3 linked regions of the Macaca mulatta genome follow. The main gene of each other region encodes a partner of the protein of the gene in region 2 in a complex. Links are inferred from orthologs where the notes say so. Each region holds a gene or a part of one and is shown on either strand. Other genes may lie near its edges. The genes, in order: KLHL2, WNK4 and KLHL3.

The links.
Region 1: the proteins of WNK4 (region 2) and KLHL2 are in contact, whole or in part, in a crystal structure (PDB 4CHB), measured with the Homo sapiens proteins. The link is inferred for Macaca mulatta from reciprocal best matches to the Homo sapiens genes WNK4 and KLHL2. Residues at the interface, in NP_115763.2 of Homo sapiens: Glu557, Pro558, Glu559, Glu560, Pro561, Glu562, Ala563, Asp564, Gln565; in NP_009177.3 of Homo sapiens: Arg345, Phe361, Gly363, Ser364, Leu365, Arg366, Thr392, Phe408, Gly410, Ser411, Thr412, Gly413, Ser438, Ser439, Tyr455, Ser487, His504, Arg534, Tyr583.
Region 3: the proteins of WNK4 (region 2) and KLHL3 are in contact, whole or in part, in a crystal structure (PDB 4CH9), measured with the Homo sapiens proteins. The link is inferred for Macaca mulatta from reciprocal best matches to the Homo sapiens genes WNK4 and KLHL3. Residues at the interface, in NP_115763.2 of Homo sapiens: Glu557, Pro558, Glu559, Glu560, Pro561, Glu562, Ala563, Asp564, Gln565; in NP_059111.2 of Homo sapiens: Arg339, Phe355, Gly357, Ser358, Leu359, Arg360, Thr386, Phe402, Gly404, Gly407, Ser432, Tyr449, Gly451, Ser481, His498, Arg528, Tyr577.

What each region holds. Positions count from the first base shown.
Region 1 is NC_133410.1:173,865,205-173,875,041, reverse strand, and holds part of KLHL2 (kelch-like protein 2), read right to left. Parts: intron 9,432-9,837; coding exon 9,330-9,431; intron 7,709-9,329; coding exon 7,580-7,708; intron 6,910-7,579; coding exon 6,769-6,909; intron 2,805-6,768; coding exon 2,661-2,804; intron 1-2,660. UniProt on the Homo sapiens protein: Substrate-specific adapter of a BCR (BTB-CUL3-RBX1) E3 ubiquitin ligase complex that mediates the ubiquitination of target proteins, such as NPTXR, WNK1, WNK3 and WNK4, leading most often to their proteasomal degradation.
Region 2 is NC_133421.1:67,131,791-67,141,627, reverse strand, and holds the start of WNK4 (serine/threonine-protein kinase WNK4), read right to left. Parts: upstream 9,070-9,837; 5' UTR 8,921-9,069; coding exon 8,303-8,920; intron 8,183-8,302; exon of another isoform or gene 8,090-8,182; intron 6,869-8,089; coding exon 6,696-6,868; intron 5,700-6,695; coding exon 5,479-5,699; intron 5,214-5,478; coding exon 5,056-5,213; intron 4,557-5,055; coding exon 4,468-4,556; intron 4,387-4,467; coding exon 4,170-4,386; intron 2,391-4,169; coding exon 2,126-2,390; intron 1,897-2,125; coding exon 1,775-1,896; intron 1,545-1,774; coding exon 1,486-1,544; intron 1,412-1,485; coding exon 1,267-1,411; intron 1,011-1,266; coding exon 894-1,010; intron 1-893. UniProt on the Homo sapiens protein: Serine/threonine-protein kinase component of the WNK4-SPAK/OSR1 kinase cascade, which acts as a key regulator of ion transport in the distal nephron and blood pressure.
Region 3 is NC_133411.1:146,582,040-146,592,380, reverse strand, and holds the start of KLHL3 (kelch-like protein 3), read left to right. Parts: upstream 1-4,676; 5' UTR 4,677-4,912; coding exon 4,913-4,926; intron 4,927-10,341. UniProt on the Homo sapiens protein: Substrate-specific adapter of a BCR (BTB-CUL3-RBX1) E3 ubiquitin ligase complex that acts as a regulator of ion transport in the distal nephron.

The sequences.
Region 1 (9,837 bases), on a different chromosome or scaffold from region 2:
GTTTTCTCTGTTGAGATTCTCTTCCATAGCATTGGCAATTTTTTCCATAGAGTGCCATATAGAATGAACTTTAAGGTTCCTCTGGTCCCTGATCTAGAGGCTGAATTAGACACATTGTGTTTAAGGGCACGTAGACCACTTCTATGCCTTTGGTGTTGAACTCATGGGGTCCTGGGTGGCCAATGGCACTGTCCAATATCAAAATAAAAGGCAGTCCCTTACTGGCAAGGTAATTCCTGACTTCAGGAAGAAAGCACAGATGGAACCAATCCAGGAAAAGAGTTCTTGTCTAGGTCTTCTTGTTATGCAATCAAGACTGGCAGCTGGTATTTATATTTTCCCTTCAAGGATTGGGGGTTAGCAGCTTTTTAGATAAGAGCAGCCCAAATCATAAACCCAACTGCATTTGCACAAAATAGTAGAGTTAGCCTATCCCCTTCTGCCTTAAATTCTGGTGCTCACTTTCCTTCGTAATAAATGTCCTTGGTGGCACATTTGTCTGCATTAAAAACTTTTTCAGGCAGATAACCATTCTCCTCAACAACTTTCTTAATGGCATCTGGGAGCTTATCTGCTGCCCCTTGGTTGACAGAAGCTGCTTCTCCTGTTATCTTGACATTTTTTGAGCCAAACCCCTTTCCAAAATTATCAAGTTATCCTTTGCTTGAGTAGGCTGAGGAAATTCTCCAGTTTCAGATCCTTCACCTTCCTTTTGCTTCAAGTTGTCATATAATGACTTTGCTTTTTCTCAAGTCATATTAGAGTTGACAGGTATGCCTTTCTTATAGCAGTCCTGCACCCACCAAAAACCAAAACCAAAAAATCAAAAATAATAAAAGTTTAAAAATTAGCCGGGCGTGGTGGCACCCCCTGTAATCCCAGCTACTCAGGAAGCTGAGGCATGAGAATCGTTTGAATCTGGGAGGCGGAGGTTGCAGTGACCTGAGATCACGCTGTTGCACTCCAGCCTGGGCGATAGAGTGAGATTCTGTCTCAAAAAGAAAAATCCTGCATCCACATAAAAGCTGCATGTTCAACACAAGATAAAAAGGGATTTCACAAAAAGTGTGAAGTTTTCAAAACTGCTGGGATGGCTGCAAGGATGGCTTCATGAATTTCCTTTTTCCTTTTTACAATGATCCCGACCCTGGATTCATTTATTTTGAAATAGTGGGCAAGTGCAGCAGCAGACCTCAGTCCATGGTTTATCTCAAGCAATTCCGCTTTTTCTTGTCCTGTCATGACTCTTCTCTGCTTCGCTGGAGCACTTCCCAGCATCATCACCAGTGGCACTTTGCATGGGTCCCGCGGTGTTATTCAAGGTTTATGATATTGCAGTAAACATGATGAAAAATAACGCAGAACCATGAGAGAGAACTTTTTACTGAGATACGGTCACTGAAGAGACAAAACTGCTCTTTCAAAGGTGATTAGCGCCCCCCAGCTTTTTAAGTGGATACTCACAACAGCTGAGCTCACCAATGCAGCAACAGGAGACGGCTATAAAATTATTAGAGTAGTACAGTAATATACTACAGTTAATTTCATGCAGTTATGATTTAATATTGTATCTTTGTGGTTTGTTCACATTTCTCTGGACTGTGAATGACACCATCTATGGTTTGTAGGTGTTTGTTCTTGTAAGAGTTTGTGTGCATACGTTTTGATAAATTTTAACTTTTTGTAATAGATTTTTGGATATTTTGTAGTAAATGATAAAACAGACTAATATCTACATATATTATGTGTTCATAATCTTACTTAATTTTTTCAATATTTCTAGGTTATGCAGTTCATCTGAGTTTTTTCAAACTGTTACAAATCTCCAAAAAAATTTTTCCAACGTAATTATTTTTCAAAAAATATCCACATATAAGTGGACATACACAGTTCAAACCTGTGTTGTCCAAGGGTCAACTGTACGCTATGTATTCTGTCAGTTTATACCTCAATGAAGTTGTTTTAAAAATTAATCTAGTATTCAGCCATGTTATATTGGAATTCTACTGTACATAGTTCTTCTAAGTGCTGTTTTGAATGATACATAAGCAACAGTGATGGTTAATTAGTTTAGACATTTTCTTCCTCCACTATTGGATCAATTTTGTTACAGAAATATTATACTATTAAAAGCCAGATAAATATCACTGAAAACAATTTAAAGATTCACGATAAAATTTATTAAAATTATAATTTATCTTACTAAGAGAATGGAACAAAAAATCACATTTTATAACTCAACCAGTACCATGCTTAAGAAAGAAAAATTATTCCACAGCCTCACTATAATACTGTCTCATGGAGCCGCACCACGGGGAGACATAGGAATCCTATCCTATTTCTCGGACATCTCAGGAATTAAAGCCTTGTCACATAGTGACTTCTTCTTCTCTGCATACAGATTTTAGCTACGTTAAGTTTTATTATATGATTTTGTATATCAAAGACTTGGGATTTTGAATACAAATGACTGCAGAATGACAAAAGTATACTGGTGCTTTATTTCAGAATATACACAACCAATGTTAATCATCTTAAGAGTAAGATATAAACTATACCTTCAGAAAAGACTTTATTCTTATAACAGAAAAACTTTGTTAATATAAAAACCATAATGAGGTCATCTTTTCGTATGATAATTGACTTTAGAGACCAGTTACCTGCATAACTTCTCCCTGTGCTCATACACGATGACACAACTGTCCATTTATCGGTTGTTGGGTTATAATATTCTACTGACGCCAAGTTACAGGAACCATCGTCCCCTCCAACAACATATAACAGACCATTAACTGCACAAACTCCTTTAAAAAATTACACAGAGAGAAAACGATTATTTTAAAAAGTTGGATGAATATGAGTATCCCTGTACATGTTTAGTGAGGTAATCCAGAGACACTAATTTCTTTGAAAGGAGGCAAGAAAATAGTGAGCACGTAAAGAATTCTTTTTATTTTAGGATAGCCAGGCACCATGGCTCACGCCTGTAATCCCAGCACTTTGGAAGGCCGAGGTGGGCAGATCACTTGATGTCACGAGAGTTCGAGACCAGCCTGGGCAACATGGCGAAACCCCATCTCTACTAAAAATACAAAAATCAGCCAGGCATGGTGGAGTGTGCCTGTGGTCCTAGCTACTCCAAGAGGCTGAAGCAAGAGAATCACTTGAACCCAGGAGGCAGAGGTTGCAGTGAGCCAAGACCACACCACTGCCCTCCAGCCTAGGCAACAGAGCGAGACTCCGTCTCCAAAAAAAAAAAAAAAGAAGAATTCTTTCTTTATTAGGAGACTATAATACCACTTCTAAGCTCCTACTGATTGTCATTTATGCAGTAGTTACTTTATATATGCATTATTGTACTTAATTTTCACATTATAGGTTGGAAACTATTTTGACCCTCATTTTATTTATTTTTTTTAAATAAAAAGTCAAAGTCAGCTACTTAGGGAATCCTAAGAAAATATATGTTAGTAGAAGGTAAAAATATTCTTAATTTTAATTATCACACTAAATGGTTAGCTATTTCATCTCCCTTTAAAGAAGAGAATATTATTTATCTATTAAAATAACTATTTTCTTTGCAAAAATTCAAAATATCTAGAAAAGTATAAAGAAAAAAAGATGACCTCCAACCTTATGTCACTTAGAATAATGACCATTAAAATTTTGATCTCTACTCTGGCTAACTTTTCTTTACACATATATACTCAGATACTTTCTTTTTTTTTTTTTTTTTTTTTTTTGAGACAGAGTCTTGCTCTGTGCCCCAGGCTGGAGTGCAGTGGCGCGATCTCGGCTCACTGCAAGCTCCGCCCCCCCGGGTTCACGCCATTCTCCTGCCTCAGCCTCCCGAGTAGCTGGGACTACAGGCGCCGGCCACCTCGCCCGGCTAATTTTTCTTGTATTTTTAGTAGAGACGGGGTTTCACCGTGTTAGCCAGGATGGTCTCGATCTCCTGACCTCGTGATCCGCCCGTCTCGGCCTCCCAAAGTGCTAGGATTACAGGCTTGAGCCACCGCGCCCGGCCTTTCAGATACTTTCTTTTTTAACCCCAAAGTAGCTCACACTACACATGCTACTTTATTAAACAACTTAGCCACCCTGGCCAACCAACATACTTTGGACAGTTCCTCAAGTTAATAAATGTAATGTTTATGTATGATATCATCGTAGTTTATTTAATCATTTTTTTAGATGGATATTTAAGTAATTTTGATTTTTTTGCTGTTATCAATGATGTTGCAATGAACAAAGATCCCCTGAATATTGTTTTGAATACTTGAGCAATTTTTCCTAATATAAATTATTAGAAAGAAAACTGCTGAGTCAAATGGTAAATGCTTTTAAAAAGCTAATTCAATGTAATTTTTTAAAGTACATTTAATACCTTATAAAAAGTTCAGTGCTACTATGAACTTGTACTAGAGGGCATCAAAGAATCCAGAAGAATGCTGCCCAAATCTACAAAACTTTGTAGGAAAAAAACTCATACCATTTTAAGTTGTTCAAATACTTAAAAGGCAAATGCTGCTGCCACACAAGCTCCATACAGTAGGTATATGTGTATGCAACACTATATTTCAGTCTGTTGATGGACAACATAGGACTGTGAGAGAAAAAATGATCTCAAAAATGGCCCTGCTATGATGGAAGGCATGAACAAGGAGATTATATCGTCCTGAAGAGTTTTCCCAATTGTATCTACGAGGGGCTCACAGATTAAAGAGCATCCCACTGCAGAAAGGGAGGTTGGTCCATACATCCATTTGAATATATTGGCTATATATTCAGAAGACACCAATTTTACTAACCCACTAACTCACAACACCAGATTCCTTTTAGGCGATTGGAGCCAAATCACTTTGCCAAAAGGATGCACTTTCCTGCATTGTTTGATGGTTCCAGTTTATTCAGTTTACTTCAACACAATCAAATTCATATTGAGAACCTATTACAGACGTGCTAGGTATTAAAAGTCTATATATAATCATCTAATTCAAGTTTATTTCATTTTTACTCCACTCTTGGTGTCATAATTTACCATACTTATGAAAACTTTTGAAATTTGGCTGGTAAGCTGCTTGCTATTTCAAATTTATATGGATGCTTTCACCTCTCCCCATTTAACATTGAATACGTGTCCTCCACTCTTTGCCAGCTTAGTTCTTTCTTCCCAGTAATTTAGGTGCTTGGATGAGGTCCTGAGCCTAGGTTATTAAAAAGGAAGAGCTGAACAGATCTTATTAGAAGTTTTTTTCAGATTACCAGGAATATGGAATGAGGGTGAGATTTTAAATATTCTTATGAACTTAAATAATTTTAAAATATATGCTCAATTGGATTATATTGTATCTTGTAAATTATAGAAGTAAATAATTCAAGTTCTGTTATTTGCATAGAAAATAAACATAATTGATTGAGAAGGAAAAACTGAAAAGTTAGCTTTCAGATTTCTCTCTCTTCCTTATTATCAAATAAACTCAAGTAATGTTGTCTAAGTCAAAGTATGAAACAACTTTTCAACAGACTTAAGTCTTTTTCCTAAATCCTACCCTTTCCCACACAATTTTTTGAAGAACAGCTCTATAATGATAGACCTATCATATAGCTCTATAAATACAAATTATCTCTTTATTCTTCTACCTAAAAGAAATGAGTAATTTTTTATATGAAAACAATAAGCACATATAGAGAAAAAATAAGATTATTCTAACCTTTAAGAAAATATTCATAAAAAGCTCAAATTGCAACTAAGTTTCCTAATCCAGGAAGGACACTTGCACAAATCACCATGGCTTTTCTAACTTAATGTGTACAGGAGTCACTTATTCCACTAAGGACCCAGATGTGAGGGTCTTACCATTGAGCGAACTGATGACTAAATACAACTGACCAGATGACGTGCAAGGCCAGACAGATTTAATTATAAATTCTGGTCTGTGGCTAACAGTATCTGCAGTTCCACATACTTAGTCTTTCTTAGTAATCACACTTCTTTAAAGAGAAACTAAGATGCGTGCTGATGGAGGAGGGGTGTCCCATGGTGTACGTAAGTTTGAGACTCACCAGGAACTTATTTTACACTATGAGAAATGACATGAAGATAGTGGCATTTTGAAGAATCCTAGCATTTCCTGAAAGGCTATGTAGCTATCTTGAGTCTATTTTCCACTTGTATTTCCCTTCCTTGATTCTTCTTTTTAAGTGGTTATTTCCCTAATCTTAAAGTTCTCTACTTTCTTAAAATTATTTTTTGTTGTTGTTGCTTTAGTTTTTCCATTTTCCTGGAAATCCTGAACTGTATTAAGCTAGGGTTACCTCTGCAGACTTCCCCTCTAGATTTAGATAACCAACTAGTTTTTTAACCTAGTATAAATATTTACTCAACTAGACTAAATTTCCTGAGAAGTAGGATCTCCAGTATGTGATAGATACATAGTAGGCACTAAAAAATATTTGGTGTAAGAATGAATGAATTCAAGTATCAAATGAAGGGTCTACTCCTAATTAATTAGTCTCCAAGTTTATCACCAAAAAGTAGCAGCTAGTAGAAAAAAGTTTACTGACGTGTCACAACAACCTGTTATGTTCCAGAGACTGTGGCAGGCATTCACTTTACAGGATTATTACGTAAGTTTCTGCCTTTAAAGAGTTCAAAGTCTACCAGGGAACCCAGATCAGTAAAAGAACAATGGAAATACACAGTGATACTAGTGAAACTTAAAATAAAATTCAACATAAGTTTTATAACCTTAAACTGACAGATACCTGCATTTCTTCTGCACATGTTCATATCTGCAACCTGTCTCCATGCATTAGTGGTAGGATCATACACTTCAACACTTTTTCGTACTAAAGGGCCATCATGACCTCCTACAGCATACAATAAATTGTTTAACACACCAACACCTATAAAACACAACCAGCCAAATAGAGGGGCAAAAAGAACAAGAGATTTATATCATATTAGGTTTATTTAACTAATATGTTTATTTAACTGTAACTAAAACTTTTGAAGTTATAATTCATAATAAAAGCAAGCTGATACTATAGCCTACAATTTAAGAAATGGAAATCAATAGAATTGATGATTAAATAAGCATCTCAACAAACTTTTATTCTGAAAAAAGAGGCATGTCAAACAGAATAAAAATATTAATAATATGTAGGTGAAACACAGGGAGGGAAAAAGTCCTTTAATGTAATCCTTTTGAAAAAAATATCCATAATAAAATAACCCCGAATTAAAGCACAAAATTTTAAGAAATATACATGAAAAGATTTGATTATTAAGCAAGTTCCCCAATAAGCACTAAAAACAGAAACTAAAAGGAGTGCTAACAATGTGAATATATAAATGAAACAGAAATGTCTATAGCACTTTGACATTAAATTTTAAAGTAAAATTACTTTGTAATTACTCCCATTAACTGCACAATTCAAAAGACATTTAGCAGTGCCATTAAAATCAGCATATCATATATTTTCAGATAATGTAAAGTGATGCCACTGAATCATTTTACTTTAACTATTTTCCATCATTTTTGTGCTTCGATTGCTAAAATAGGTTCACATGTACCTGCTCCACTCCGCCTGGTGCTCATTTCTGCTATATAGCTCCACTCATTTGTTGTAGCATTATAGCATTCTACTGTGCTAAGACACTGACGTGACGCTCCATCATAACCTCCTACAGCATAGAGCAAACCTACACATAAAATCACAAAGAAAGCCAAATTTATTAAAAAACGAACAAACAAAAAACACTATTTTTTCAAGCCAGAAAATATTAATATATTTTCCTTCATGGCAGTAGAGTTTCCCCGTAAAGTGCTCTGATTTTTATGAACTATATTAGGGTCTTGCCTAATGGTGACAGATGGAGTAATCAAATCATATTATGAAGATCTGCAGGGTATAGATGATGTTAATTTTATACTTTCCTCAATAATCTGATAAAAAGCACACTCATTATATCTTTAGGTAACACTATTTGATAAGTGAACAACATCCTGTAAGACAGAATTAAATACCAAAGTTATCTTAGGAAATTGGAAAAAAGGTTAAATCAAAAATTAATATCAGAATGCAATGCAATATTACTTGGCAATAAAAAGGCATGAAGTACTAAAAAATGCCTCAGTATAAACAAATCTTGAAAACATCACCCTAAGCGAAAGAAGTGAGTCACCAAAGATCACATACCGTACAACTAAAATGTTCAGAAGAGGCAAATCTCTAAGTGATAGAAAGCAGACTAGCAGTTGCTGAAGGTTGGGTAGGAGAGGAGTAAGAGCTAAGCGAAGCAGGATTGCTTTTAGAGGATAATAAAAATGTTTTAAAAAATGAATTGTAGTGATGGATGCACAATGAACTGTATACACGAAATGGGTGAATTGTATGGTACATGGATTATATCTCAACAAAGCTGTTTTTTTCTAAGTGCAGAGAATTACACATATGATGAGGAGGGGGTGGAAACCTGCAAATTTGCCCAAGTCAATTAAAAAAAAAACAAAACATTAATACTTAGAGCCTTCCTTAACTTCTGTTGGGAGACAAAGTAGGATATAAATAAATAACTGTGGCAATCCATCCCTTAAATGTTAAACAGCCCTTCTCCAGATACAAAATTACACATTTATGTCACCTGAATTGTTCCCCCCAAACAACTGTATTAAAATCAGCTGACAGTCTTACATAGCAGCAGTCCCCAAACCGCAGGCCATGGACCAGTACCTGTCTGGAACCTGTTAGGAACCAGGCGGTGAGTGACAGGTGAGCGAGTATTACGGCTGAGCTCTGCTTCCTGTCAGATCAGCGGAGGCATTAGATTCTCACAGAAGTGCGAACCCTATCTTGAAATGCACACGTGAGGAACCTAGGTTGTGCGCTCCTTATGACACACTAACGCCTGATGATCTGAGGTGGAACAGTTTCATCCCAAAACCAGCCCCGCAACCCACCCCTGTCCGTGGAAAAATTGTCTTCCACAAAACTGGTCCTCAGTGCCAAAAAGGTTGGGGACTGCTGTTATATAAGTCAAACACACACACACACACACACACACACACACACACACACACACACACACAGGAAGAGGATAAAGGGAGAGGGATGGAGAGGGAGAGAAAAGGCCTTATATAGGTTGATTTACATAGAGAAGCTAGTTTTGAAAAGAGGATAATTGAAATTTTACAGTAATTACGATTTTCTTTTTAAAATGATAATTAGCTTGCCCATTCAGAAAACTAATGTTTTGATTATTGGAAGAATCACTCTCAAGGATCAAAAAGCCATATGTACCTGAAAGAACTGTCAGCACCTACCTCCAACAACACCCACACCAACGCTGCTCCTCCTTGTGTTCATGGGAGCAACATGAAACCACTCATTAGACTTTATGTTGTATGCTTCCACAGATGATAGACCTATAATAAAACACAAGTCTTCATTTCCTTCTCTAAAAAAAGTCAATAGTTCATATATATGGAAAAATACTTCAGGTATGTAACATTGGGCTAAAATTAAGAGAAGAAAATGGCAGAATGTAAACACATCAATTACATGAAAAACAGGAACAGCTTGTTTTCCAGAAGGCTCCCACCTAAGCTACTGACATTTATAAGCTTTTAAAACTTGATGACTGATACTGATGCATAAGAAAGAAAATTTATATACTCAGCACTCATATCATTTAAGGAAATTCTTGATAAAATTTTAAATTTATCTTTAAATACCAGTTAAAACCTCACATATGCCTTAATGATGCCACGGTTTATTCCATAAACATGACTACTACGTTAATTTTAGCAGCAATGTAGAAGAGATGAAAAG
Region 2 (9,837 bases):
AACCAGCCCACTCTGCCTATTTATTTATTTTTAGACAGAATCTCACTCTTGTCACCCAGGCTGGAGTACAATGGCGCGATCTCGGCTCAATGCAACCTCCGCCTCCCGGGTTCAAGCAATTCTCCTGCTTTAGCCTCCTGAGCAGCTGGGACTACAGGCATACGCGACCAGGCCCGGCTAATTTTTCTATTTTTTAGTAGAGACGGGGTTTCACCATGTTGGCCAAGCTGGTCTTGAACTCCTGACCTTGGGTGATCCGCCCACCTCAGCTTCCCAAAGTGCTGAGATTACAGGCGTGAGCCACTGCACCTGGCCTCTGCCTAACTCTTAACATTGTCTATTTTATAATCTGGACCCACTTTACCTACCCAGCTTCACTCCCCGCAACTCTCCTGTAGGAATCTTTACTTCTAATGATAGTGATTCCCTCATGAAGCCCTCCCAGCTCCATATTCCAAGTCACTCTCTAATTGGAATGCCTTTGTTTATGCTGTCCCTGCATAGGGACACCCTTCACAGCCTTTCCACCCTTCACGGCCTTTCTGGCCCATCTGCCAAGGTCCTGGGTAAGCCCATTGCCCCTGCTGCCCAGTCCATCCTTCACCTACAGCCACAGTATTGCACGTCTACCAGGCACTTACACATAGCACTTGTGTGTACCCGGTCAATGTGAGTCTCAAATTCCTCCAGCTGAGAAGCCAAACCTCCCTGGATAAACAGAAATCTCCCCCCAAAACAAGGGCTGAGACGTCTTCAGTGTCACTGTGCTAAGTGTCAACCAGAGATTTAAAAACCCTTGCTGTCGGATCAGTGGGTTTCAGCCCCAGTGGACATCCGGAAGGAGACTCTTGTTCCAGATCCAAATACTCTGTCCTCATCTCTCTCCCCCTCACCATGGCAGCTGCAATCTCTTCCGGGCTGTCCCCATCCAGATCAAATCGGAAGGTCACCATCTTGCTGTTATGGGTCTGTAGCTGGCACTCAACCACTCTGTCATTCTGGTCTGAGACCTTCAGATTCAAAGTCAGCAGAGGGGAGGAAGTCAAGCCCTCTGTCATCATGCTGTGTCTCCACCCTAACCCAGCCAAGTGACAGCAGCCACAATGGACTTGGAGATAAGTAGATCCCACCCCTAAAGTCTGGTCGCCTCTTGAGTACCAGTCACACACTGCTTCTCCCCTTTTCTGGGTGACGCCCCCGGCTTTCCCCTGACACTCCCCTCCTGGCCCTGTAGGTTACTCCCTATCTCCTGTACTCCATCCTTACACTAGTGACCCGCAGCCGGGATCGGGGTCTGCGCCGGAGATTCCTCCCTGGGTGTCTCCTCATTTGTCCCATCCCTTCTCCCACATCGCTAAGGCCTGAAGCTGCATCTGAGGCATAGCTGGTAAAGAGAAAGGAGACAGAATGACTGTCAGAGCAGACATTGAGACCCCAGTGTCCCAAGTGTCTCACCCTGGCACCCCAACTTGTACTAGAACATACCTGTCCCCAGGGGAAAAGTCACTTCCAGGGCCAGAACGTGGAATGGATAGGGCAAAAGCCTGAAACAGGATAAGGGTTCATGAGGTTAGGGGAAGATAACTGTTGCAATCTAGGGAGATGGTGTCAAGGATGCTGGAAGGATATTAGGGAGATAGAATTAGGGAAAAGGAGGACAAGAATGGTAGATTTCCAGGGACATAGGGCTGGATCATGAGATTGGGTTTCACAAGGAGGGAGATAGGTCATAGGCTTGGAATGGCTGGGAGTCCCCCATGCAACCCCCTCTCACCGAGGGCAGGCAGAGATGGGACTCAGCTGGGCTAGATGGCACCCCCCCAGGGGGCTGAAGGGCAGGGTCTGAGGCATCCAGGAAGCCGGAGGAGCTGAGGTAGCCATCAGTCTCGCAATCCGCTGGTTGGGGAGGGAGGGGATCAAAAAAAGGGGAAATGAAAGGGAATAGTGGCAGAGGAGGGGGCTGCCTAAGCAAGGAGGGGCCTGGAGCTGTGGGAGAGTTCCTTCCTGGAGGGAGCTTCATGGCTAGAGGTGGAAGGCAGGGTGACTGCGGCGGGGGTGAATTTCTGGGTTTGGGGCAGAGTCCAAGGTGTTCTGGGACCTATGTCTCAAGATCAGGGTGACTTACAGGTGGTAGATGAGTAGCTGGCGTGGCGGAAAAGGAAGGGCTGGTGCTGGTCTGCCTCTGGCTCCTCAGGTTCAGGGGGGAAAGCACTGGGGGGACCGGGAGCCATGGGCACAGTTGCTGGTGGAGGTCCTGGCTCTGGTGGGAGTGCCTCCAATTCCCTTGCTTTACGCAGCTTCTCACGCTTTCGCTGGATGGCGGCAACCCGTTCACGTACTGCACGGGCCACTGGCTGGTAATCGGCTTCACAGACCAAGCCCAGAGCTACCTGGAGTTGGGGTGGGGGATGAGGAACACAGCTTGGGACCCCCTCTCAAAGATCCATCAGGACACCTTCTTGGGAACTCCGGGATATGGGAGGAAGGAAACCAACACTTACTGATGACCCACTATGTCTGCTAACTGGCAGCTCCTTACATTATCATCATTAGATCCTCCAAACAACCTTGTGGGATAAACCTTACCATTCCATTTTAGAGATTAATGAATTGACCAGTTCATAGTTATACAGTAAGTCAGTGGTTTCCAATGGGAAGAAGAGATGTTTGGCAATATCTAGAGACATTTTTAGTTGCCACAACTCAAAGGTAGATGCTATTGAATCTAGTGAGTAGAAGCCAGGGGTTCTTCTCAATATCCTACAATGTACAGGGCAGTCCCTAAAACAAAGATGCCAACAGTACCAAGGCCAAGAATCCCTTGTCAGCAATGGATCAAGATTGGATCTCCATGATATGGAGACCTGCTCTAAATTTCTAACACATTCTCAGGTTCTTGTCCCACCGTAGGTGGTCTCCACCCTTGCAACAGTCATGTCTGTATTAAGAATCCCATACTCAGCCGGGCACGGTGGTTCACACCTGTAATCCCAGCAATTTGGGAGGCCAAGACAGGTGGATCACTTGAGGTCAGGAGTTCGAGACCAGCCTGGCCAACATGGTGAAACCCCGTCTCTACTAAAAAATACAAAAATTAGCTGGGCATTGTGGCTCGTGCCTGTAATCCCCGCTATTGGGGAGGCTAAGGCAGGAGAACTGCTTGAACCCAGGAGGCGAAGGTTGCAATGAGCTGAGATAGTGCCACTGCACTCCAGCCTGGATGACAGAGTGAGACTCCATTATTCCCCAAAAAGAATCTCATACTCCCTTCAGGACTTCCTAAGCCAGTCCCCAGGCGTCTGCCCTTGCATCTTATGCCTCTCCCCTTCTACCAGCTTCCATTCATCACCTCCTCTTTCCTTTTAGCCACAAGCTTTGCTGAGTGAGTAAAGGAGGTGGGGAAGGGTAACCTGATTTAAAATCTGAACCACCTCAGTTTCAATCCAGCTCTTCCACTTACCTACTTGGGGCAGTGGACAAGGTATTCAACCTCTCTAAATTTCCATTTCCTTATCAACAAGTTGAGATAAAACTGCCCCCTATGCAGGATGGGTAGCAAAGATCAAATGCATGTGAAAGTGCTTTAAGCCATGTACAGATGTGGGCTATTAATGAGCTCTTACTATGTGCCAAGCACTGCCAGGGATAGAAGAATCAATAAACACAGTCTCTGCCCTCAGGGAGTTTATAGTCTAGTGGAGAAGAAAGATAGGAACTTATTCAGGTCTAAGACAGGACCGATAGTGGGGAGTGATGTAACAGAGAACTTGCTGAAGTGGAAAGAAGCATTTAAGTTTGACTCCAGAGGGGATGGCTTCCCGAAATCGATGGTTCTGATCATATTGGAAGAAAAAGAAAAAGAACAAGGGGGAGGCAGGAAAGAAGGAAAAGATAAATTGGCAAGAAGGGCATTCCAGGAAGAACAGATCAGCTGGAGGTAAAGCAGGGATGCTGGAGGACCCAGGGCTCCCTCTGTAAAGGAAAACTGGGTGTGGGTGCAGGTAAGTTAGGGCTGGAGAGGTAGGGAGACGCTGCAGGAGATTCTGAGAGGAGTAAGGTGCCCCGCCCCCATCGCTGCCACGCCTCCTGCGCCCCATCCCTGTTGCACTATCTCCTCGGGTCAATGCCCTTTACACGTCCACTGGCAGCACAGTCTGTCCTCCGCTCACCATCTCCTGTGCCACCTCCTCGGCCGCGTCCCGGCCCAGTTGGAACAGGAACTCGATAGCCTGGTTGTCCCGTGGGCGCCCCCCACGCCGCGCGTCCTCCATGCGCAACCAGAGCTTGAGGCCCGGCTTCTCGCCGTCGTCCTCCTCCGCTAGTTCCACATGCACACCGCGCTCCTCGCGGAAGAAGGCGTGGGCCAGGAGGTCCTGGATGGTGAACCTGAGGGTGACGCGAGGGGTTAGCCTAGCCCGCCGCGGCCCGCGGCCCTACTCTACCCATGCTCTGCCCTTTCACCCCCACCTCTCGTTCTTATCCGTGCGGATGCAGCCTTCAATGATCTCCTTCACCTCGGGTATCTTCACCTTGTAGAAGCTGTTCGGCTTTCTGCCCTGGGGGAAGGGGTTGCATGACACCTCCGGTCCTTTGATCCCCAGCTCTCGGCTTGACACCCCCCACCCCTTACTCCACTCCCGCCTTAGGCAGCTACGCGTGCAGTTGCAAAAGCCTGACTGCCACTGGAAGATGTGATTTCAAATCTCACTCCCCGCCAAGTATTTACAGTGTGACCTTGAACAAGTCTCCCGCTGTTTGTTCATCTGTAAATCGCAGGGTGGAACATTTGCCCCGCTCACCTCACAGGGCAGCTGGAAGGATTGGATGAGAGATGGGATGCGAAATCATTTGTGAACTCTTGGGAGCACCACACATATTATTCTAAATAGCGTGTACTGGAGGGGGTGCATGTGCATTCAATATCCTGTGTTCCCCAAGGCGACTCTGTCTAGCCTGTTTTCGTGCAGGCAAAGGGCACTGACTGCGGGCTGGCCGGGGCAGGAAAATGGGAAGTGGCCCTGGAATTGCCTTTCCCGCCAGTCCCATCCCTCTCACCGAAGTGACCTTGCGGTAGATTTGCGCGGCATTCTGGCACTCGGAGTACGGGTACTCAGAGGTGGCCATCTCCAGCATGCACATGCCGAACGCGTACACGTCCACGGCCTCATCGTACTTTTCCTCGTACATCTCGGGGGCCATGAATTCCGGGGTCCCTGTAGGGTCAACAGCAAGGATCAGGTTGCTGGGCACTCTGGCCTTGTCCTTCCCATTGGGCTAGGTAGCCCCAGGCAACCCTGCGAGTGCAAGTGACCCCGGCCCACAGTGGGGTTGAGGAGGGATGCCATAGGTCTCCTCAGCTCCCCTGTCATCTGGTAGTTTCGTGGACCTTGAAGGCCCTTGCTGAGGGGAGGGAGTACCTAGGTTCTCTTCTGAGGTGGGGGAGGAAGGAATGGCATGGACCCTCCTGGAGAGACGCACCGATGACACTCTTGGCAAAGGAGGCGCGCTTGAGCGTGGCCAGGCCCAGGTCCCCGATTTTGACGGAGCCAGTAGGGCCCGTGATAAAGACATTGTCGCACTTGAGATCCCGGTGCAGGATGGGAGGAACCCGGGAGTGTAGGAAATGAAGTCCCCGCAGGATTTGGCGGCTCCAGCGCTGAAGGACTCGCGGCTTCATCTCCCGGAACCGCCTCAGGTACCTGGGGGAGGGCACATAGCAAGGGTCCTGGTGGGGGACACGGCCAATGGGGAGGAGTCCCCTCACTGGGAAGTTCCCCCCTGCAGCACCCTGCTGCCGCCTCCGCATCTTCTGCCAGCATTCTCCTAGTCTATGTCTGCCTGGCCACAGGGAGAAACTGAGTCAGGGGGTGTGGTGGATAGACATGATGTTACCAAACGGGTTGGGAAGTAAATTGATAGGGCCGCAGCCAAGGTGCTGTGGAAGCGCAGGAAGGGATGACCAACTGCCCCAAGCATGAGGGAGGGCTTCGGAGAGGAAATACTTTTGTGTTGCATCTTGAATGATGAGTAGGAGCTCAAAGGTGAAAGGGGGAAGGGATGGAGACTTCCCAGGCAGACAGGACACTATGCTCAAAGGCACGGAAAAAGCCAGTGACAAGGCAGGGTGGGACGAGGTGCCAGGAATTTGGTGTGATTGGAACTTAGGCTAAAAATGAGGCTGTATCCCAAGGCGTCTGTGAACAGGTGAGCCTGTGTGGGCTTTATTCCAAGGCCATGGGAAACTTTGAAGGGGTTTTAAGGAGGGGAGTGACAGTTCAGATTTTCGACTGGGAAAGATCCTCCAGGCTGCAGGAAGATAGGATCGCTTAGAGGGTGGCAGAGTTTGGGAAGGCCCTTCAGGAGGCTGCTGCAGGGCTCCAGATCAGCGAGATGGCATTGAGGTGGTGGCATGGATGAAGCAGTGAAAGCCAGGTGGGGAGAGGTTAAGGAAAGACTTGGGGACAGACTGATGAGGGGGCAGAGTGGAGAGAGGGGAGTCTGGGGAGACACCCAAGTTTTTGACTGGAGTGCTGGGTGGACATTGCCACTCACCGAGGCAAAGGCTGGGTGAGAGGGAGATGATGAACCTGGTTTTACACCTGGATATTAGAGAGTTTGAGGAACCTGGGAGTTCAGGAAGCAGTGGGCACACATCCCAGTCTCCCTCTCCCCACCCACTCATGCGCAGAGCTCACGTCTTAAGTGTGCCCGAGGTCATGAGTTCGGTGACCAACACGATGCAAACCTGGCCCCTCAGCACTGACTTCCACGAATCGTAGAAGCGGACGATGTTGGGGTGCTGCAGCCCCTTGAGCATCTCCACCTCCTCTGAGAAGCGCTGCCGCTCAGCTCTAGATAGTTTCCGAGTCTGTGGGATGGGGGACGGGTGTCATGTCAGGCCCAGGACCCCCACAGAAAGGAACACCTGGAGTGGGGTTGCGGGAAGAAGTAAGGGTTGGAGCCCACAGATGGGGTGGGATTAGTGGGATCACTCGCCCAGTGGGCTGCAGACCCTGAACTCTCCAACAGTCCCCCACGTAAGCTGATCCAAGGACACACCCAACCTGGGCCTGGGGCAGCCCCCTAGACCCCCTGCTGGACACAAGCTCCTTTATGCAGCCTGGTCCCGGAGTCCTGAGCTCAATAGTGCCTTTGTGGCTGCCCAGGCCCGCCATGGGGCGGGAGGGGGCACCCGGGGGCTGGCAGTGAGCAGGCAGCAGGCGGGCAGCAGGAGACCGCGGGCAGGGAATTGGGGCCGGCAAGGGGGTTGGCCCCAGAAACTGGGAACTGCTAGATCCAGACAGAAGGCAGGAGGGATATGGAGGTTGGTACTGAGAAGGAAAGAAAAGATCCAGAACTAGGTGCCAAGAGGCCGCCCACCCCCATAGTTGTCCCGCCCCGGCTCCTCTCCCTCCCCTCACCCACCAGTTTGGCTGCCTCTCCTGGCCTGGCCCAGAGCCTGGGGCGCGGCACTGGCAGGCGCAAGGGGCGAGCCCTGTGCCAGGGCTGGAGAGGGACCCTTCCCCTAGGCTCTGTCCCCCAATCTGAATCCGAAGCTTCGGGCCCCAAGTTGACTGGGTTCTCCTAACCCATATGTAGCATGGGAGCGATGGGAGGAAGGTCTTCCTAAAGCCCATGGGCTTAGTGCCTTTAGATATGGGAGGGAAGGGAGAGCACAGGTAGGCAGTGGGATGAGGAGCAGAACTGGACTCACTCCAGAGCTGGAGCTCCCTATGTCCCCCTCCTCGCAGCTGTGAAGTCCAGAAGTCTGACTGCTCCAGAAGGGACTAGGGGGCCCCATTCTGCCACAACTGCCCTAAATCTTTTAGAGTTGGAGAGGACCCTTGCCCAGCTCCTGGCTTCCCACATCCCAGCCTCCTGGTCTGCAAACAGGTGGGGACGGGGAGGAGTGAGGGGATCAAGAGGACCAGGGTCATAACTGAGGATCTCAGGACTTAGGGGAGAGGAAGGGATTGTGGGTACCCACCAGCAGGAAACTGACCTGAACTGGATCCCCTGCCCAACTTCCCATCCTATCTTCCACCTCTCAGGGTTGAGTATGGAGACTTTAAAGTGAGAATGTTCATACCCATGGAGGAGTCACCAGACACCACCTGCCTCAGTCTCTCCTTCTGCAGCCCAGAGTCAGCCAGATCATTCAGGGCAAAGACAGCAGAGGTGTCTATAGACATTTGGAAAAATATATCCTTCCCTTGACGCTGTCTCCCCCACCCTCTGTCTCTCATCCTAAGACCTCCAGAGTCCCATCCCAAGGTGCCACCGAGGGGGCTCCCAGCCGCACCTGCAGCTCACACCAGGCCACCTCCACTGTGGTGTCGGTGTCTAGCCCTCGATACACCGTCTTGAAGGAGCCACGTCCAATCTCGATGTCAAACTTGAGGTATCGGCCATCGGGGGACGTTGCCACAGCCTGGGTCTCCATGTCCTCCTTTTCTTCCTGCTCCCGCCGCCGCTCTAGGGCCACAGCTTCAGGGACCCTCAGCGGCTCCCTGGACCCCGGGTCCACTGCAGAGTCCGGAAGCTTGGGACGCGCGGAGTCTTCTGCAGCCTTCACAGGGGCTCCCTTGGTCCACGTGCCCTCGGAGGTTTCTTTGGAGCTAGGCGGTGGGCTCCTTGCGGGGCCAGGACCAGAGGAGTCCGGAGGATCGGGGGGTTCCGGAGCGGGTGAGGGTGGCAGGGACCAAGAGCTCAGCAGCCCCAAGTCGACTGAGCTACGGCGGCTGACACGAGAAGAGCGCGGCCGAGGCTCAGCCTTCCCGGAGAAGCGGCGCGCTCGGCGAGGAGGGGGCCCGAGGCGGGGCTGCCCCGCGGTGGCAAGAGGCGGCGGGGGCCGCAGCGCCAGGTCGGCCTCAGTCTGGGACATGGGGACGGTGGCCTCCGTGGCCGGGGGTGCCAACATGAGGAAGAGCAAGGCGCCGAAGGGTAGAAAACCAGACGGCCGGAGACGAGGCGGTCTGACAGGCAGACCCGCTGGGCGCGCAGAGCTCCGGCTGAGCGGCTGGGGCCCCAGCCCCCGGCTCGGCCGGCCCCGCCCCTGACCCCGCCCCGCCCCTGACCCCGCCCCGCGGCCCGCCCTTGCCCCCCACGGCCGCCCCTCCGAGCCCGCGAGCAGCCCCTAACCTTAGTCGCCGCCCCGCCCAGCCGCGTCCCCCTGTTTCCCGAGCCCCCGGCCGCAGTCTCACTCTGAGGCCAGAACTGAGTGGGAGACCGCGGTGCGTCCTCCCGCACTAAGAGTGCACAAACCTGTTTGTGCGCGGGGGAGTGCAGGAGAGGAAGACACTCGGATCCTAGTAGGGGATTACTTAGGGGCAGGCTACCACCGGCCTGCACACCCCAGATAAGGCAGCACCACCGCCTCCTAACTGTCCGGAGTAGCCCCAGGCCGAACATACAGAAAGGACAGTGGAAAGGTCTGACGTTGTTGTCCCTCTGGTCTGCATAGGGAATGGGTGTGTGCTCCCCAGGATAAGTCCCTCCCCCAAACTGCCCGGTCATCCATCCCCTCCAGGCCACCTTGGCCGCAGCCTAGTCCTGGCCAGAGTGGCTGTTTTTGCAATGTGGGCTCTCCTTCCTCCCTTTCTGTTTGCCAAAGTCTCCAATAAACCAAAGTCCACATCCGGCTTGCCCCCTCAGCTCCCCCTGGCCACAGTTACCCCACCCAGACCAGATGGATGGAGGGAGGGGCTTCAGAGTAGTTCAGGACTTCCATGGGGGAGACGGTGAGGGAAGGGGGAGCCCTTAAGTGACTCCAATTCAGAGAGAAAGCAGTCTGTCCCCAAGCTGTGTTCCATCAGCACTCCTCCACACAGCCCACCC
Region 3 (10,341 bases), on a different chromosome or scaffold from region 2:
CTAGAGCAAACAGGTTCAGGCTGTGGTCCAGAGAACATTTGGATAATAAGGTAGAAAATGTAAAATGTATCTCTGAAACTGGAAAATATTGGGGGTAGGAACTTTGTGCTAGGAGTCTGGAGACTTTGCTTCCTGACTCAGCTCTGTCCCTGGTTTTGCTAGATAACCTTTCTTCCTTTTTTTTTTTAAATTTCAACTTTAATTTTAGATCAAGGGGTACATGTACAGGTTTGTTACATGGGTATCTTGCATGATGCTGAGGTTTGGGGTATGAATGATCCTGTCACCTAGGTAACGAGCATGGTACCCAGTAGCTTTTCAACTACCTTTTAAGGCTTGCTCCTTGTATTAGATGGTTATTGTGTTGCTATAAAGAAATACCCGAGGCTAGGTAATTTATAAAGAAAAGAGGTTTAATTGGCTCATGGCTCTGCAGGCTGTACAGGAAGCGTGCTGGCATCTGCTTCTGCGGAAGCCTCAGGAAGCTCACAATCATGGTGGAAGGCAAAGGGGGACCTGGTATATCACACGATGAGAGCAGAGGCAAGAGTGAGGAGGAGGGTGCCACACACTTTTAAACAACCAGATCTTGAATGAACTCAGAGTGGGAACTCACTCATTATTTTGGGGACAGCGTGAAACTATTATGAGTGATCTGCCCCTATGACCCAATTACCTCCCACTAGGCCCTATCTCCAACTCTAACACTGAGGATTACATTCCAGCATGAGATTTGGATCCTACCAACATCCAAATCATATCACCCCTTTTCCCTCCCTCCATCCTCTAGTAGTCCCCAGTATCTATTGTTCCCATCTTCATGTCCATATGTGCCCAGTGTTTAGCTCCCACTTATAAGTGAGGACATGTGACATTTGGTTTTCTGTTTCTGCATTAATTCACATAGAATAATGGCCTCTCACTGCTTTCATGTTGCCTCAAAGGACATGATTTTGTTCTTTTTTATGACCATGTAGTATTCCATGGCGTATATATACCACACATTCTTTATTGAGTCCACCATTGATGGGCACCTAACTTGATTTTTTGTCTTTGCTATTTTGAGTAGTGCTGTAATGAACATGCAAGTGTGTGTACCTTTTTAGTAGGATGGTTTATTTTCTTTTGAGCATATACATAGTAATGGGATTGCTGGGTCAAAAGGTGGTTCTATTTTTAGTTCTTTGAGAAATCTCCAGACTGCCTTCCATAGTAGCTGAACTAATTTACATTCACCAGCAGCGTATAAGCATTCCCTTTCCTCCACAGCCTTGGCAACATCTGTTATTTTTTGACTTTTTAGTAACAGTCATTTTGACGGGTGTGAGATGAGATGGTATCTCATTGTGGTTTTGATTTGCATTTCTCTGGTGAGTAGTGATGACGAGCATTTTTTCATATTTGTTGGCTGTTTGTATGTCTTCTTTTGAGAAACGTCTGTTCATGTCCATTGCCCACTTTTCAAAATGGGTTTATATGTTTTTTGCTTGTTGAGTTAAATTCCTTATAGATTCTGCATATTAGACCTTTGTCAGATGCAGTTTATGAATGTTTTCTCCTATTCCGTACACTGTTTACTCTGTTGATAGTTTCTTTTGCTATACAGAAGCTCTTTAGTTTTATTAGGTCCTACTTGTCATTTTTGCTTTTGCTGCAATTGCTTTTGAGGACTTAGTTGTAACTTCTTTGCCAAGGTCAATGTCTAGAAGGGTATTTCCTAGGTTTTTTCCCTGGGATTTTAATAGTTTTAGGTCTTACATTTAATTGTTTACTGCATCTTGAGTTTATTTTATTTTATTTTATTTTTTGAGACAGAGTCTCACTCTGTCACCCAGGCTGGAGTACAGTGGTACAATCTCGGCTCACTGTAACCTCTGGGTTCAAATGATCCTTCTGCCTCAGGCTCCCAAGTAGCTGAGACTACAGGCACATGCCACCACACCTGACTAATTTTAGTATTTTTAGTAAAGATGGGGTTTTGCCAGGTTGGCCAGGCTGGTCTCAAACTCTTGACCTCAGGTGATCTGCCTGCCTTGGCCTCCCAAAGTGTCGGGATTACAGGCATGAGCCACTGCACCTGGCTGAGTTAATTTTTATATATGGTGATAGGGTCCAGTTTCATTCTTCTGCATATGGATAGCCAGTTATCCCAATATCATTTATTGAATAGGAAGTCCTTTCCCTATTGCTTATTTTTGTTGACTTTGTTGAAAATCAGTTGGTTGTAGGTGAACAGCTTTATTTCTGGGTTCTCTTTTCTGTTCCATTGGTCTATGTGTCTGTTTTTATACCAATACCATACTGATTTGGTTACTATAGCCTTGTAGTATAGTTTGAAGTCAGTTAATGTGGTGCCTCCAGCTTTGTTCTTTTTGCTTAAGATGAGCTTTCTTTTCTAAATGGCGTCTTCTGAGTATTCTCTATTCTGTCTACTTCCTGTGAATCGTGAGTGGTGAATAAAGTATGAAGGTGTAGTAGTATGGTTTTGACACATACATTATAATGATATCGGTTAGCATGGCAAAAGTGGGTTGCAGGGAAATTTTGTGGGTTTTGATATTGGCTCTTAATAGTTGTATTTTGAAACTTGAATACCCACAACCCTTACATATTTCCTTTTTGGATCTTTTTTCTTTCTGTCTGGTGTATTAGATGTGGCATTTCCCCACCTTCCTGTAAGGCGAATATGTAAACGTGGGTATGTGCAAAGGAGTCATCTCTTTCTTATGTCCCTTTTATGAATCACCCAGTTGTCTTCCTGGTGGATGTCTGAACTCTGGCATGGATTCCGAGATTCAATTTCCTTATTTGTGATGTTCAGTTTTTTGTGGTCCCTGTGATTGACCTCAAGAGGAAATATCTGGAGCAGGGCCACAAGGCTGATTAGAGGAGGAAGGGACATAGAGGGAACAAGATAGGAGGGGTATTGTTGTGAAAGGAAGAAGTGAAGATACAGCCCTGTGGGGTGTAAATGAAATTATCCAGGCCTCTTCTCACTTGAGAAAGAGTGAGTTTGAGTAATGGCCTCGTCTAAGAGAACACTGAGGTGCCAGGGGAGGTAATCTTTGAGAATAACCCTGTAGCCAGTTTGAGTTCAGGAGGCTATATAAAGTATTAGTTACTTTTACTTTCTGTCACCCCAGTGTTTCTCTCTTCCTTCTGTGGTTTTAGAGCTTTGTAGTAGTGAAGACATTTATCAGGTTAAAATGATAAGAATGATAGATTTACTAAGCGTCTCTTCATACTTTCACCTACATCATGTTATCCTCCTTGAAGCCCCCTACAAAACATTAGAGCCTAGTGTTTCTTCTTAAACAATCATACAGATTACTCTGAGAAGAAAAACAGACCATTTAAAACATTTTTAGAATCCTGTGATTTTGGAGCTGAAAGGGACTCTAAAGACTGTCTGGTCTTGACCCTATATTGTGAATGAGTAGCTGAGCATGAGGTCCAGAGTGTGGAGAACACTACTCAGGAAAGTCACTCACCCAGTGAGAGCTGGTGCAGATTCGGAAAAGCCCAGGAGTGTCTTGAGGGGTCCCAGAAGAGAGATGCTCATAGCTGATTTTTCTGAGGCATTAGGGTAGCTTCTGCACCACTTTTTGTGGCTAATTGCCCCAGTTACCTCTAAGCCTCTGTGGCTAGGATATACAGACTGGCCTCCTGCCTTCCACAAGATTATGTTTTAGTTTGGGAAAGAAGATTTATAAATAATGAATTAGCTAGGTGTGAGATGACAATACAGGACAGTATAGTTTGTAGCTATTTTGGTGGTGATTGGCTGTCATTGGTGTGATTCGGGAAGTTATGAAGACATGGGATTTTGACTAGCCTCCCAGAAAGACTAAAGGACTGGGATTGGAGAAGCCTTTCCAGGCAGGGAGAGTTAAATTAGTCTAAATAGAAGCTTAGCAGCTGGAGATTACAGGATGTGAAAGATCTTTGGCTGGATATGGGGGTTCAGTGGGAGACTTACTAGTTGGAGCCACAGCTTAAGTTAAATTCCAATATGACAGATTTTAGGAAGATATTTTAGGATTGTGCTAAGATATTTTAGTATTCATTGTGATAGCTTTACTGCAGTAGTCTTTGGCCTCTTGGAGTAAAATAGGGTTTGTTTCCGTTTCACCTATTTGTACTACCTCTCTTTTTCGACTAATTTTCCAATTTCTCTCTGTATTCTTTTAATTTCTCTCTGTGTTCTTCTCACTTCTGTCAGGTGCTTTTTCCTTAACTTCTCCCCATCTATCAGACACTCAGAGCTACTATAGAATTTGGGAGGAGGATTTGGAACATAAACTGTGACCTACAAGTGAATTTCCCCAGGTGGATGATAAACTCCACTGCAGGCCACAGAGGGGCCTCCTCATTCCAGCAATCTGGCCAGGCTGACAGACTCATAGCCTATGGGGGCAGGGGAGGGTGTAGGGGCCAGTATTTCTCGGGCTAGTGACGAACTGCCTGATTCTTTGCAGCCTAGACAGAGGAGGCAGGAGCCCCAGGGGCGGGCTAATCGCCTGGGCTGGGGATGCCTGGGCAGATGCAGAGGCAGCTGGAAAGGTGGCAGTGCACCTGGGTCGCTGGAGCTGCTGCCGTTCCTAGGAGACCAAGGAGCAGCAAGCCTGCGGGGGAGGGGGAGCAAGTGGGTTGCTGCTTTTAGCAGCTGAAAGGGCTGCAGGGAGCTCTGGGTAAGACATTTTCTGCTGCTGCTGCTTTTGCGGTAGAAGCTGCTGCGAGTAAGTCAGAGGAAGGAGGATTGAGAAGGGAGGAGGCTTCACTTGCAGCCATGCTGAATCACTGTTGCTGATCAGATCTCCCACTGGTCTGCTGGGAGAATCAAGAACAGAACTAGGATTCCCGGGTGCATGCACACAGTTCAGCGGCTACCACCCTGACTGGGCCTCACACAATGGAGGGTGAAAGGTATGTATGTATAAGTATGTGCTGTGTTGTGTGTGTATATAAGTAAATGTGTGCTTGCGGTACAGCCACCAGCTTTTGTGCTTGCATTGGCTAGGCAGGGTTGGAAAACCTGGCCACTGATGGATCTCAAAGGGCGGCAGAGCAAGAGCAGGAAAGCCGCTTTCCAAACCACCCATTCCAGGGCTTGAATCTCCAGAGATCTGGCTTCCGCAAAGGCAGGTCTGGGTTTGCTAGGCAGCGGAGCACCCTGAAAGAAGGGACTTCCTGGCTGGTGTTCGGGAATAGTTTCAGCACAGGCTGAATTAGATTGCCTTTCTCAGGCTGTTTCAAGGAGGCGTTTCCCTTTCCTGGCTACTTTCCCGGGGTGTTTTTTCTTTGGTGGGGGGTTTTTGATGTCATAGTGGGGCCGGCCTGACATAGTGTACTTGCATTTTCACGCAGGAGTGCTCGAATCTTCAGCAGGCATGCCATGCTGATGGCTGTGTGTGTGTGTGCGCGCAGGCACGCCGTGTATGCCTGTATACACACACATTCAGGGATGAAGGAGAGAAATCCAGTCAGATGACACTTGCTCTGAACTGAGTTTCATATTTGTATTGAAAAGTTTATGAGTTATACTGGAAGGTCTGTGCTTCCTCCATCAGGGATTTCTTTTGAAATACGAACCAGCAGAAAAGATTTCAAGTACTTTTGTTGAGCTGGATCTAACTAGCGAGGCAGTTAGATCCTGGCAGGCACACCCATCTAAATTTTTAAATTGTTATCTGAAGATCTGAATCTTTCATTGTGAAAGTACTCAGTGCAGTGCAGAGGTGACATTCCTCTGTCTATGAAGTAAAATATCTCTTGAGTGCCAACCTCTTCATTCTTTGGTCTGCAGTTGGTAGAGTACAGGGCTTGCCATTTTATCCGAGGAGAGAGCACTGCAGGGAGGGGTCCGGCCATGGCAGTGCACCACTGAGGGGAAGGCTGCTGCTCCAGGTTGCCAGTTTGATGCAGACAGTAACTATCTGGTTAACAATAATAGGCTCAACTAAGTCAACACTAGAGAATCTCTCAGTGAACACTTTCCTTTTCATGAGTTGTTGTGACTTCTGCGTCTCACGGGGCTCAATGATGCCATTGAACATCTCTAGACCCTATTAGAACTGGCATGATGGTTGAGTGTCATCTCATTCTTTTGTCCGTAGAGGCCCTGGGAATTGTGTTCTTGATGACTCCCACAGGAAGAGCCTGGGACTGACTGTGCTGCTGGTGCATCGTCTTTCTGGGTGCTCTTTGTAACAGGAGTTTAGTGTTGAACTGCATGTGGCCTGCTGGGCAGCAGAACATGTGAAGGCTTGTTTCCTAGGTGTGGGGCAGAGGTGAGCAGTGTCTTTGGTCCCCCAAACAGTGTTCCATTGGTCTGGTAGGTGGCAGAGAATGGGGCTGATGTGATGAAGGTTTAGAGATTCTGGGCCATGCCTATTTGCTTGATCTGTGGTGTAACTGGGGTTGAGAGATCAGTGTGAGACTACTAGCAGCGGATCAAATGGTTTGGGGCACTGTGTTCCCAGTTCTGTGTTCAGAAATGTAATGAGTCCCTGCCCCTGTCCTGGGGCCTCTCAGCTGGGATGGCTGATGTCTATGGCTTTAGAACACCAGGTTGCACATGTTCTTGTACTTTTCCTCTGCTGAAGGCAGATGGTAGACAAGAAATCCAAACCGAGCAGCTTCCAATGTTCACCAGGTCACCCAGGTCATACCTTTTGTTCCTGCCTCAAGCCCAGCTTACCATGCCAGGCATTCAAGTCTTCTGAACTCCAACTCCTGTTCCCATTCCCACTGCTCACTCATAAACCTACTAACAATTCTATTGATCTCTTTCATGATCACCCATCCTATACATTACTTCATCTAGCCTCATATCCTTAGCTCCCAGAGTTTCTTTTGCTGGATGTCTTTCCCTTCTAATTTTGCAAAAGTTATCTATCAAGGTTATTCTAAAATTCTACTTTATCTTGGAAACTCAGCTTTTCTAGTCCTGGCTGATGTTCTTCTGAATTCTAATCCCTCTAGTTTGCATCTCATAGTTGGACACTGAATAATAGGCCCATCAGATCTTTTAGTGCTTTTATTTCATATATCTTAGCAGTCCCCAAACTTGGAGACAGGTCCTCAAGGGCAAGGCTAGTACCTTGTACTTCTAAATACGCCCATTGACTACTGTGTGGGTACACAAATAGCAGGTGCTGAATAGTTATTAGCTGATTAACTAATAACCTTTGTGTGAGGCTCTGATAACTAAAAAGAAAGTTGGTGAGAGAAGAGACTGAAGCCTTTGGCCAATAGGTTCATCTTTGGATATCAGCCTTATTATCTTAGCACGGGTAACTGACTCCATGGAATGCTTTGAGGTAGGGGGGAGAACAGAGGGAAGTAGCCTTGTTTTGCAAGTTCCCTGGGAAATTGAGGTCCGGAGAAGCTGAGTGACTTGCCTAGGATCACATGTCCAACCTCCAGAGACTGGAGGGATCCTGAATCTGGTGCTTGTTCCACACTTAACCTGCTGAATCTTAATTGGGGCTGTTTTTAAGCATTACAAAATTTCAACCAAGAGATTGCTAATGAACAATTTTTTTTCTTTGCCACGAGGGTATGAAAATACTTTGTACCTTGAAAGGCTATTAATTAAAAGCATGGGCTTTGGAGTAACTTAGACCTAGTGGTGAATCTACTTTACAGTGTGACCTTGAGTGTGTCACACTCTTTTCAGAACTAATTTTTCTCTTTTGTGTAAAGGAAATAATAACAGTACTTATACTTCATAGAGCTGTTGTGAAGATTAAATGATACAATATGTGTAAGGTACCTAGTAAAGTTTTTTAGGCACTGAGTGAGTACTCAGGAGATGGTAGTTGCTATTATCATTGGTATCCACCTATTGCTATGTTGTAGCCTATACCTCGCTGCTGGGTTACTAACCAAGGCATATTTTAGGACCTCTCTCTGTTTATCATCCAAAGCAGATTAAGTAGAACCATTTCCATGAGGAAATGAGGGAGCTTATCAGGCCATCATCTTGCTTCTTACCTAAAACTATCTCCGTATAGTAAGTTCCCCCATAGGGCTTGGCATTTCTTCTTTTAGGTTTCATCAAGATCTACCTTAATCTTTCTTTTTATAGACAACCTGTGGCATCTAGTTGCCTCAGTGATTTGGAACCATGGGCTGGATACATGTTTGTTCAGGCCAAAATCTCAAGAAGAACTTGTGAATTTGCACTAACCTTTGCTGTATCTTTCTAGATTTCCAGGTCTCTCCTGGAACTTATGATACTGAGTCTTCCCCAGTTCCCTCTGTGGGAGAATCACTGTGGCTTGACCAGTCAGACGAAGGTGATTTTGTCTTCTCTTTTGCAAAGGGAAAGGGTCTCTGGCTGTTAGCTATTACAATGATAAATTGTGTCCATGTGAGTGGGTATGTAGAGAAGATAGGTATCACAAATGGCAGTTGTCCTTGCAATTGGGATTTTATTTCAGTTCTGGAAATCAGCCTTGTGGATAGCTTAAAATAAAATTTCAAAATAAATGGTTAGTCAGATTCATAGAGACAGAAAGTAAAATGGTTGCCAGGGGCTGGAGGGAGGGAGGAGTGGGGAAGTTATTGTTTAATGGATAGAGAATTTCAGTTTGGGAAGATGAAAGAATCCTGGAGATGGATGGTGGTGATGGTTGTACAACAGTACGACTGTACTTAAAAATGGTTAAAATTATAAATTTTATATTACATCTATTTTACCACAATAAAAAAAACATTGAGGCCCAGACTGTGGCAGATCTGCAAGAGTTACAGAGCAGCACAACTTTGGAAGAAGCATCATAAAAAGGGGAAGTTAATTGTCTATTTTTCTTAAAATCATGATTATTTTCTTCATCAGAAGCACAGCGATGCCCCTGCTTGAGACGGGCATCATGTACCGGGCACTGTGCTGTGATTTTGTGTGAGGTGTCCTCAGAGGATAGTTCTTACTGACTGGTTTTTACGAAGGAGAGCCTGTTCCTGGACCTCAGGGAACTTCTGATCCAAAGGAGCTCATCTATTTACCTTTGATCCAGGAACGACAGATAGAGAATATTTTCTGAGGAGACAAGACTTTGAAAGCCAGTATACTTTAAATGTTGAGTTTTCTAATGTCAGGTTAAATGCTGGCAAGACCCAGGGAAGAGCAAGTGTTGAGCAACCTCGCCTTTTTTCTGTTCCCAGTGGCAAGTCACTTAGTCCTCCCCGAACCTTAGAAGTCAGGGATAGAAAATTCTGTAAAAAGTTTTGGGCATCACTGCTGCCTGAAGCAGATGTGCATGCATTTCAACCATGATAATTGAAACCAAATTTTTCCATTTTGGAAATACTTTTTGGCAAAGTAAAGTTTTCAACTGCAAAAACAAAGTCAGGGAAAGAAACCTCTTGATTTCCCTGCACCCAGATTTGGATTTTTAGGATTTTGCTTGCTAAGTTTTGAATTGGTAAGACAGATCTGGACAAGATAATTTTTGTGTGAGTTTTCCTAAAAAGTGCTTTATTTGATGAAATTTGCCATCATCAAACTAACCTTTTTTTTTTTTTCATTTTCTGGATGAATGTTCAAACTAGGTTAAACGGAATAGAGCACTAATAAACCATGTAAAAAATAGATTGAACATGTGCTGGTAGGTTTTTTCGTTTTTTTGTTTTTTTCTGAGACAGAGTTTTGCTCTGTCGCCCAGACTGGAGTGCAGTGGCGCCATCTCGGCTCACTGCAAGCTCCGCCTCCCGGGTTCACGCCATTCTCCTGCCTCAGCCTCCAGAGTAGCTGGGACTACAGGCGCCCGCCACCACTCCCAGCTAATTTTTTGTATTTTTAGTAGAGGCGAGGTTTCACCATGTTAGCCAGGATGGTCTTGATCTCCTGACCTCGTGATCTACCCGTCTTGGCCTCCCAAAGTGCTGGGATTACAGGTGTGAGCCACTGCGCCCAACCCAGATTTTTTTTTTTTTCTGTTAAATAAGTTCAATGCCTCTCAGGTCAGAGATCTAACTTTTTATCATTTATGAGGATTTTCGGAGTCTTAGCACAACTTTCCTGGACTTTTCATTTTCATTTATGAAAGTATATCGTAGCCACTATCAAAATCACACACATGCAAGGGCTTATCTCTCCTATTCAAACTAAACATAAACTTGGCTTCCAAAATGTCACATAATGAATAGCATGTTTTCTTTTAGTCTTTCTCTCTTCTTGTCTAATTTTATCTGTCTGTGTAAAATGTTTTACATTTTTACATAGCCCATTTAAGAGTTTTCCCCTTGAGTTTTGCAGAAAGTGGTCTGTGAGTTGGGGTTTTAGGAATGTGATTAGTAACATACCTGTTCTTGAGCTTGTTTATGAAGGAGCAC